Linked DNA regions of Xenopus tropicalis. The protein of the gene in region 1 interacts with the protein of each later gene in a pairwise test. Links are inferred from orthologs where the notes say so. Each region holds a gene or a part of one and is shown in the gene's direction. Other genes may lie near its edges.

Region 1 (4,987 bases):
ATGGCAGACACAGGCATCATAGGGCAGGCAGAGTATGGCACAGACAGGCAGCATATGGCAGACACAGGCATCATAGGGCAGTCAGAGTATGGCACACACAGGTAGCGTAGGGCAGGCTGAGTGCTGCCTGTGTGTGCCATACTCTGCCTACCCTATGCTGCCTTTGGGAGGTGAACCTGGCAGGGGTTTGTTCTGGGAGTTTGTTAGCAGTTGGAAATAGCCATTAAATGGTCCCTAAGGTGTGTAATTATATGCTGGGGGTTGCTGTGCTATCCACAGGGGAGGAGGAGTCATATGGATTTTAGGGTGTGTCTTAATATGACATAATATACTTTTTTCACATATGAATGGTGGTTCATATCCCTGCAGTGAGGACCAAGCTTTTGGGTTTTTGCTGCACTACCACCATTGTGATAAAATGGGTGTGGTTTGAAGTGGGTGTGGTTTAAAAGAGGGGAGTGGTCAAAACTGGCTTCTATTAGTGGCCCTCCACCATGTATGCGCGAGAAATTCCGGCCCTCGGCACCGCAGAAGTTGGACAGCACTGTGCTAATGTATTTTATACATCCAGGAAGGGGCAGGGGGGAAGGGGCACTTAAAACACAACTGAACTGATAATAAACTGATAGACAATTTTATCTATACTCCTACTTCTAATGATTTCCCTAGAATCCCATAGTCATGTTTAAAGTTTAAGCTAACATTACAGCTGAATTACAGCAGTTTTTCAAATGTTTTAAAGCTTCAGTCTTATACTATTGACTATCCATTCCCTTCACGTATACAAGTATTTCTAGTCCTGCAATTTTTTTACTTAATTAGTTATCAGTGAGAGTTAGGCTGGGTTGCCAGTGGGCGTTGGGTTCCCAGTAACAGAGGAACACGACGCAGTGGAGCTGCCGCACCTTAACTGTGCGTTACGTCCCATTTAGTGAAGCATACAGCCAATGAAAAGCTTCATGGTCACTCAACGCGTTCGTTTATGCACTACGTGCATTGGGCTTTATTCTTATAGCAGAGAAGTAATTAATTATGACTGTTTGTGAATTGGGACATTTAAACTTGCTTTATTTTTTTTTTTTTATTCCCATTTAAATTTAGTAGGAGTCGGAGTTGGTTCATTTTTTGCCGACTCCGACTCCAGGTACCCAAAATTGCCTCCGACTCCTCGACTCCGACTCCACAGCCCTGCATTTTTCGTCGAAAAAGTCGCGGAAAATATACGATAAAGTCGTAACGGCGATGAAAAAATCGCAGGACATACGAAAAAGTTGCGACGGTGACGAAAAAGTCACAAAAATACCGATCATTACGAAAAAATGCGTTCGGGCGCTTTCGGTCCATTCGTGCATTAGTAAATCTGCCCCTATGTATGTATGTATAACTTTATTTATAAAGCGCTGCATGGGTATGCAGCGCTGTACAGTCTTACAATTACACACAGGGAGGACAAGAGTTATAATAAATATAATAAATAAGTATAAATGCACAGGGGGTAAGTGCCATGTGGTATGAGACACAGTAGGAAGAAGGTCCCTGCCCCGTAAAGCTTACAATCTAATTGGTAATATTATAATAAGCCACCACAAAATCTACTAAATAAATAGATTTTTATATACACAGCTGATGATCGTGATAAAACAAAAGACTATCGGCTCAGTCCATTTTCGCTGCCATCTCAAAGCAGCACTGATTAATACTTGTCCCAGTTACTCTGGAAACGTCTTACAGAAACGCGCAGTAAAATCCCTTCTCCTTATTTCTCATTGGCTATCTTTGCAGTCGTAGGTGTTGACGTTAAATTCAGCGCAGGCGCAATGTTAACTATACAGTGGGCGGGAATTCTATACCCAGTGTCCGCCATCTTGTTTCGGTTCCCGCTAACCCCTCCCCCTCGTCTCCCGGAGCGCCCTGACCAGGTTAACGACTGTCTCCTTTTGAAGTTTTTGTCCCTTACAAACGATTATTCAGCCGGTGGACCTTGGCGTGTTTAGGAAGCTGTAGGAAAAGCCGATCATTGGTACGCTGCACCGAGGCAGCCGGTGAGTGAGTTATTCCTTGGCGGGTGGGTTAAGGAAGTAGATGGAAAACCCTGGTTCCAAGAACAATGCTATGCAAGGAACAGATTTCGGTGGCATGTACCGGTTCTGTTCCTTTCTCCCCGCCTCGGGCCTCGCTCATTGGTGGAGGCCGCAATGTGGCCGGTGTGATTGGTCGGTGATGGCCGGAAACTAGGCTAAGGAGGAGGCGGGAGAGCTGAAGCACCGAACTAGTACATGGCACCGACTTTGCTTTTACCGGATGCCTAGGGCTGTATATTAATAGTTATGTGGTGCCCTTTGTTCTTGCTGAATTGTATTCGCTACATTCCTGTACTGTTCAGATAAGGGCGGTGCTTCCAGAGCGCCGAATTCGCTTATTTGTTATTAATTAGGTTGTTCACCAAGTACCTCCCCAAGAACAAAGACAATAGGTGCTAACAAAACTAAGAATTATTTGGGCTTTCTCTTTATTGGCTTGTTTAATTATGCCTTTGACATTTTGGAGTAGCGGAGTCTTGCTGCAGCCTTATCTTTCAAAAGCGTATTAAAGGTTAATTCTCCTTCAGAATTAGCTTTCAGTAACGTAACATATAGGCAGTGGTATCCCTGAGACGTGCAGTTAGTCTTCATTTGTATTTACTGTGGTTTCTAAATGATTAAGCTATTTTGGTCGGCAGATCTTCAGTTTGGAAATTCTGGTTGCTATGTCCAGTTTACCCTAGCAACTAGGCAGAGGGCCTACCCACAGGGTGATCTTTCAGCAGCAGTTTACAGTCATAGTAACATAGTAAATTAGGTTGAAAAAAGACACGTCCAAATTTAGCCTTTAATGTCTATATGAAACCCACATGCTATTTGATTCAGATGAAGCCAAAAACCCCATCTGAAGCCTCTCTAATTCCTGACTCCAAAGTGGCAATCGGACCAATCCCTGGATCAACTTGTACTAAGCTATTTGTGACTGTCATTGGACAGTCTTTTTTTTTCTCCCAACCAAATTGTAACTGTTCAATCTCAATAACCTAAAAATTGGAAATCTGTTTGGCAGTGCTCAATTGGCAGGCCTTTTACCTGGAATTACATAATTGTAACTGACCTTACCAGCTTTATATGCCACTGTATGCGTTATTCCCTTTTATAGGGATAACACATTCTATTGCATTTAACAGTTATACAGGACTTTATCCAAATCTTTTTAGTTGCTATCTGATCATTTTACATGGTGAAAGCAACAGCTGCTTAATATGCTCCTTATCATGTACAGTACTAAAAATATAGCCTTCAGCATTATGACTCAAGCTACTGAGTTCGACAGTTGTTGGAAAGGCACAGTTTCCCAGACATTCTCATTTAAGGAACCCACTCACAATTCTATATACTTTAATTTTATAGAATGTTTGAGATTTGTATGTCCAATGTATTTTAAAGGCAAAACCATTTAAAACAATGAAAGTAGTAAAAGGTGAAGCTCTTATTAGACCAAACTTGCTATGTTTTATTTTAGTTCTTTTAAGTGCATTCGATTTCCTTCCTTGAAGTACCTATTTATTTTACAATGACTGCTCACCCTAGTTTAAGTAGTCAGACTTTCCCACCTCAATCACGAGTAGGGTTGTTCACAAAAAAAAATAATTCTTAATGTGGACTAGGGATTCACTGAATCCACTGTGGTTATTTGGCCGAATCTCGAGTCTTTTATGAAAAATTGTTTTATCCAAGGATTAAGTTAAAGGGACAGTAACACCAAAAAATGAAAGTGTATAAAAGTAATTACTATATAATGTACCACTACAGGGCAGCATTACAACTGGTGTGTTTTACTTAGAAAGGCTACTATAGTTTATGTAAATAAAGCTTCTGTGTAGCCATGGGGGCAGCCATTTACAGGAGAAAAGGCACAGGTTACTTAGCAGATAACATATAAAACCCCATTATATTCTACAAAGCTTATCTGTTATCTGCTATGTAACCTGTGCCTTTTCTCCTTTTTCCCAGCTTGAATGGCTGCCCCCGTGTTGACATAGCAGCTTATTTATATAAACTATAGTAGCGTTTCTGTTGCAAACTTACCAGTTTTACCAGCGCAGGGCAACTGTACATTATATTTTAATTACTTTAAAACACTTTCATTTTTTGGTGTTACTGTTCCTTTAAGGATTTGTTTTGGCCATGCAGTTTGATTAGGTCAAATCCAGGATTCACTGCATCTCTTATGTGGACAATGGTATTCTGTGATGATTCACATGATTTTTGTTGTACAGTTCTCGGGCTTTGAATTTAGGCTTAAGTATCCAAGAAGCCAGACAGCAATGTATAAATCATGATGAACAGGAGATGATCTAGACGGAAAGGAAAACAATAAATAAGAATTACATTAAAAGGCTTTGCAGTCAGTGGTTTTTGGTTGCCGTTTTTTCAGTTGCATACTTGAAAGAACACAATAGGAAAAAAAGGAAAACTATTCAAAATGAAACCTTTATTAAATTAGTCTATAGCATACTGAAGGTTATTATAACGGACAGTGTCCCCTTTAAGACTAGAATGTGGAACTCAGTCATAGCAACTGGTTCTTACAGCCCCAACTTGATTGTATTGTAAAAACAGAAATGACACCAGATGGGCTTCTACCAGTTGTGTCTGATTTTTGATGTAATGCACACTTTAATTTTGGCAAATCGGATGTGGTAACATCAGAGGCAATACAGTTGTGTCAGATGCAATGATGCTGAAATTCTGGTGCAAAAAAAAAAAGGGGGGGTGGTTTTCCTTCCCCATCATTTGCAGACATAAATTACCCCTTTCGTGTTGGTGTTGAATTTATGATAATCTTTAAATATAACATAAACAGAGCATGCTATGCAAATATCAGACAACAGTAAAACACAATCTAGAAACAATTGTCTCTTTCATTGTGTAAAATTATGGTTCTGCATGCTAAACATTTT
Region 2 (5,098 bases), on another chromosome or scaffold:
GAGTGCTGCCGGGTTGCTGGCAGACTGAAGACAGGGGAGGGAGGTAGCCCACAGGTGGGGGGGGGGGAGAAGTGGCCTTAGGCACAACTGACTCTGGGAGAAAAGTGCAAGTTGCACACTGCACTTAAAGATGTTAATGACCCATTATGTCTGACAGTTAAGATGCAGTGTTTTAGACAGAGCTGAACTTCTCCCAAGAGGAGGAAATACAGTAAAACTGTTGGTACAAAATAGAAAATAAATGTATAAGGATTTCCAGAAAAATTAAACTTTAGATGATTTTTGTACTGCATTCCTAAATGTTCTATGTTTTATACAGGTTACAGAATTAACCTATTAATTTGTTACCATATAAGATAAAGTAATATACTTTGTGAGCTCCTCTTTAACAGGCAGAAATGTGCAGTGTAAGGCCCTAGCCCATTTCTGCTTACAAAAACCAAAACATTTTTCCACAGGATATATAAAATATTTGCCCTATGAAGGATTAATATGCATAAAAAGATGTGACTAAAAAAAGAAAAATACAATTTGTTGGACAGTATGGACTCAGTATGCACACTCCAAAACTTGGGCTAATGGGTATTATAAGCTGGGTACTATTGGTTTTCAGGGAGCTGCTTCTGAAAAATATTGTGAAATGCAGACATAGTATTACTGTCTTCTGCATGGTTTCTAAGCTAGAATTTTGGAAATGTTCAATGCTCTTCCTCCAATTCATTAATGTTAAATAAAATGAAGACCCAATATTGTGAATGAAGGTAAACCATTTTTTTTTGCAAGTAAAGCAATTAGTTTACCTTCTTTATTGTTGCCTTATAGTTTTGAAATGCTTTCTCCTTTTCAGCCAAGAAAGCATCTTTAGGACCTTTACTAACCTTACAGTACCTAGAGTTCACTTTCCTAATGTTTATTTATATTTGATTTTTTTATATTCAGTTATTATTATTAACATTTATTTATAAAGCGCCAACATATCCCGCAGCGCTGTACAATAAGTGGGTTACATACATTGGACATACAGAGTAACATATAAAGCAATCAATAACCGATATAAGAGGTGAAGAGGGCCCTGCCCAAAAGAGCTTATTCAATGTTTTTTCTATTTGATTAACTATATTAAAACATGAATTCAGCTGAACAGAGAATTGTGTCTGTCCCTTTCCCTGCTGCTGCTTCTGTCTCTTGAATCAATGTAGTAGAAGTCAGACTTACAGGTCTGTTAATTAGCAGGCTTCTGCCACATTTTTTCAAAAGACAAAAGCAACAGTGCAAAGAACAGAAAAGGACAGACAAATGCTGCTTTCAATACCAGTTATCTTTACAATATAGATTGTAAGCTCTACGGGGCAGGGACCTCGTTCATCTTGTTTCTGACTCTTATTGCAACTATTTATTGTTGTACTTTGTATTTATCCATTATCTTTAACCCCCTGTTTGTATTAATGTATTCTACTGTACAGCGCTGCGTACATAAGTAGCGCTTTATAAATAAAGATATACATACATACATAAATACAAATAAGTTAAACTAATAACTAGTAAACAAATAATGTTTAACTAATCTATATTGCAAAAATGCTTAGATTTCCATTCATTAACTAAACTGCAATTTGTCAGTAAAATAAGGCATACAGACGCGGTTTTATTAACCTGAGATTTGAGCAGAATAACAGTGACGCCGCTGCACCGCTTCCTTGTGCGACGCCAGACGCCGACAGCGCATCCATGGTAACGGGCGTCTCGGCGCTACCGGAAGTGGAAATCAGGGCGCCGTGCTCCCTCACATACGCCGCTTCCGGCGGGAGAAGGTGGCTCTTTGCCCTAACCGGTTTTCTGCCGGGATGTCCCGCTGACCCGGCATTTGCTTTGTATAATTGGTTGTGTTTTATACTTCGGTGACCCGTTCTTCCGTGCATTGCGAGTGGGTGCTTGTTGTGTTGGCTGAGGGAGGAGCCGTGAGGATGGTGTAAAAGAGACCGGTGAGCCACAGCGGGCGCTTGTCTTTTCGTGCGCCTTCCCGCCAGACCTCCGTGTCTCTTGGATTTATTTTGTTTTTATTGTTCGTGCGTGATTTAATTCACAAAAATATCCTCTTCAAACTAAAACATTTCTCCAAGGCCTGGATCTTGCCATCCGGTCTCCGTTTCCGGCCGCTTCTAGGAAATAGGGCTGCGGAGCAATGGCCTCTTCATCAGGGAACGATGATGACCTCACTATTCCCAGGGCTGCCATCAATAAAATGATTAAAGAAACTCTGCCCAATGTTAGAGTAGCCAATGATGCTCGGGAACTGGTGGTAAACTGCTGCACGGAGTTCATTCACCTAATCTCTTCCGAGGCGAATGAGATCTGTAACAAGTCAGAGAAGAAAACCATATCGCCCGAGCATGTCATCCAGGGTAAGTGTAAGCAGCGGGGAAGCGCCCCACTCTCTGGCTGCTGGGCTAGTGTACAAGCAGCTGGGGCTACTGATGCGCTGTGGGGACTGCATGTTAGCCTATACATATAATACACCAGAGCCTGTAAATACTGTTCTTATGAATAGTGTTTGATGATGTTATCAGTTATAAACAGTGCTTAGTGATGTCATATCTGTCACATGACTCCCTAGAACTTGTTTATAATAATAAAGCATCTTCTGTGACACTATATGAAGATATTAGAAGTCACTAGCCAGACAGCAGTTATCCAGCGCTCGCCATATGTTTCAGGTTTCTCAGCTGGTGCATGCAATCCAAATGTCTGCACACTTCAACAATCCAGTACTGATACAATACTACGGCACTCCAGGTTATATGGAAAACCGCCATTGTTAGTACTTATGGCATGGTCATGTCTTCCTGGAACTGGAGTGCTGCGCTATTCTATCAGTATTGGACATTAGAAGTCATCTTGGAGTTCCATGACCTGTATAAAAGCTCTCACGCTCATGGAACTTCTCAGTGATTTATAATATCCTTCTTTTTTTCCCATATAATATACTAGTCTGTACTACTGCCGGCTGCAACCTCTGATTATATATTTGTAAGGACAGAACTGTGGTTTCTCTTTTGCTTAGCCCCAGCAAACATTATACATTGGCAAATAACATTTTGAATATGGACAGATCTGCGCCTGAGAGGATTATGGGATGATCTGCCAAAACAAACCCTCAATTTGAGGTACAACTTATATGGCTCAGAGGCTATGGTGGAAATCAACCAAAACAATGTTAATTATCCCAGAAATGATGTAAAACTTGGCTGGCTCTCTACTTCCCTTTCAAAACTGTAGCCCTTGGTGGTCCTTGCATGTGAGCTGCAGCCATGACTTTGGAGCTGAGTAGACACCTGAGGTGTTGGAGACACTATGGAATATGCTTGCATATCAAGTCATATATTGTATAACTCATTACATCTTATTTAAACTAAAAGAGGCAGTCAAGTTGCATCATAGCTTTTTGCTAGTTGAACTAACCTGATGTGTTTTGAGAATAGAACAATCACTCATACACTAACCACTAATGTGCATTTTTAACACACTCCATGGGTTGGTAGTATGGTTGTACTCTGTGAACCGTACTGCTTAGCATTCATTTAGTGGTCCGGTAAAGATTAGTTTATCTTTGTATTAGGAGAAAGTAAAATTCAACTCTGGCAAATCCATTTATGTTGCCTATTTCTTCATCAGCATATAAATGTAGGCAGACAAAACAGCCAATCCCCTTATCCACTCCTTTCTGACAGCCACAGCATTGGGCTGTGTGCAAACGCACAGAACAGATTTTGTTGTGACAATGCATACTTTCACAGTTCCTCTTTGAAATCCACTCTGTGCCTCTGCAAACAGGACAATGCTGCACTTGTCAATCTAGACACTGGAGGAAGGAGCATATGGTAGCGGGTTAGCTGTTTATTTATTTTTTTTTATTTATCTGCTATCCTTTTCTGCCTCTCTTCAGCTTTCAGGGGGGGGGGGGGGGCTCCAGTTGTATTTTTAAGCTGGCCATACACGCACCAATATTATTAAGCGAAACCTTGTTTCTTATGATATTCAATACATGTATGGCGGCTCGAAGAGGCGACCGATATTGCAGAAGACGGATATCAGTCGACTCGTCGTTCGGCCAGGTTAAAAGATTTTGATTGGGTTCCATTGAAGGCACCCAATGTTCAGGGCTGAATCGGCAAGTGGAGGTAGAATTTCTATTGTTTCTACCTCCATATCTGACTATTCAGCCCTGAACATCAGTGGAGGATTATTGCTATGTGTATGGCCACCTTTATTGCTACCTTTTATGTTTTCTTTCTCCATGAGGCTCCCGTTGTATTTTTATTGCTACCTTTTATGTTCTCTTTCTGTTCAGGCCATTTCCTAATCATCTAGTCTCTCATTCAAACTACCACCTGGTTGCTAGGGTAAACCCTTCTTGAAGTTCACTGATTTAGAGCCTGCTGTAGCATGCACAGTTGAAGCTAGGTTACTTTACTAGGTTAGTTTGTACTTTCTCTTCTTTTTACTTTTCATGAATAGTGTAATTTGAAAGATCCCCAAGAACCTATTGGTTGGCTTGCAACATTGTTCTGCACTGACCATCCCCTCACCATCCAATTCCAGGTTTTGCATTCATCTATGCCATTGTTAACCATTTGAGCATTATGCATCTCTTAAAACAGGTGGTGTTTTATAACACTACAGAGGCAGATATTTACTAGAAAGTTGCTGTATTTACTAATATACCACCACATGTTTATTTAACACTTTAATTAGGGACCTAATACCAAATATTGCACAAAGGGTTTAATGCATGCAATCTAAAGGCAAAGACACGCGGGGCTACATAGTAGCAGCCTGTCATCAACAGTACTGAGAATTTACTTTGCTAAAACGCACAAATACAAATATCGGTAGATGATCAGCATTGTCTATTTTTGTAGTTGTGACAAGTAGCTGCTACTAGTAGCTCTGTGTGTCACCATAAAGGTATGCTGACACTGTTTTCAAATCTCTGAAATGCCATCCCCAGGACATGATATTCTGGAGATGGCACAGTAATTGATAGTGTGCATATTCCACAGGGCTTTACAGAGATTAAGCTTTATTCACATCAGTCGTT

Evidence for each region.
Region 2: the proteins of nfyc (region 1) and dr1 interact in binary tests that used the Homo sapiens proteins (3 or more experiments, as listed by UniProt). The link is inferred for Xenopus tropicalis from reciprocal best matches to the Homo sapiens genes NFYC and DR1.

Annotation. Positions count from the first base shown.
Region 1 is NC_030678.2:87,830,206-87,835,192, forward strand, and holds the start of nfyc (nuclear transcription factor Y subunit gamma), read left to right. Parts: upstream 1-1,919; 5' UTR 1,920-2,042; intron 2,043-4,987. UniProt on the Homo sapiens protein: Component of the sequence-specific heterotrimeric transcription factor (NF-Y) which specifically recognizes a 5'-CCAAT-3' box motif found in the promoters of its target genes.
Region 2 is NC_030680.2:104,112,654-104,117,751, reverse strand, and holds the start of dr1 (protein Dr1), read left to right. Parts: upstream 1-1,959; 5' UTR 1,960-2,182; coding exon 2,183-2,402; intron 2,403-5,098. UniProt on the Homo sapiens protein: The association of the DR1/DRAP1 heterodimer with TBP results in a functional repression of both activated and basal transcription of class II genes.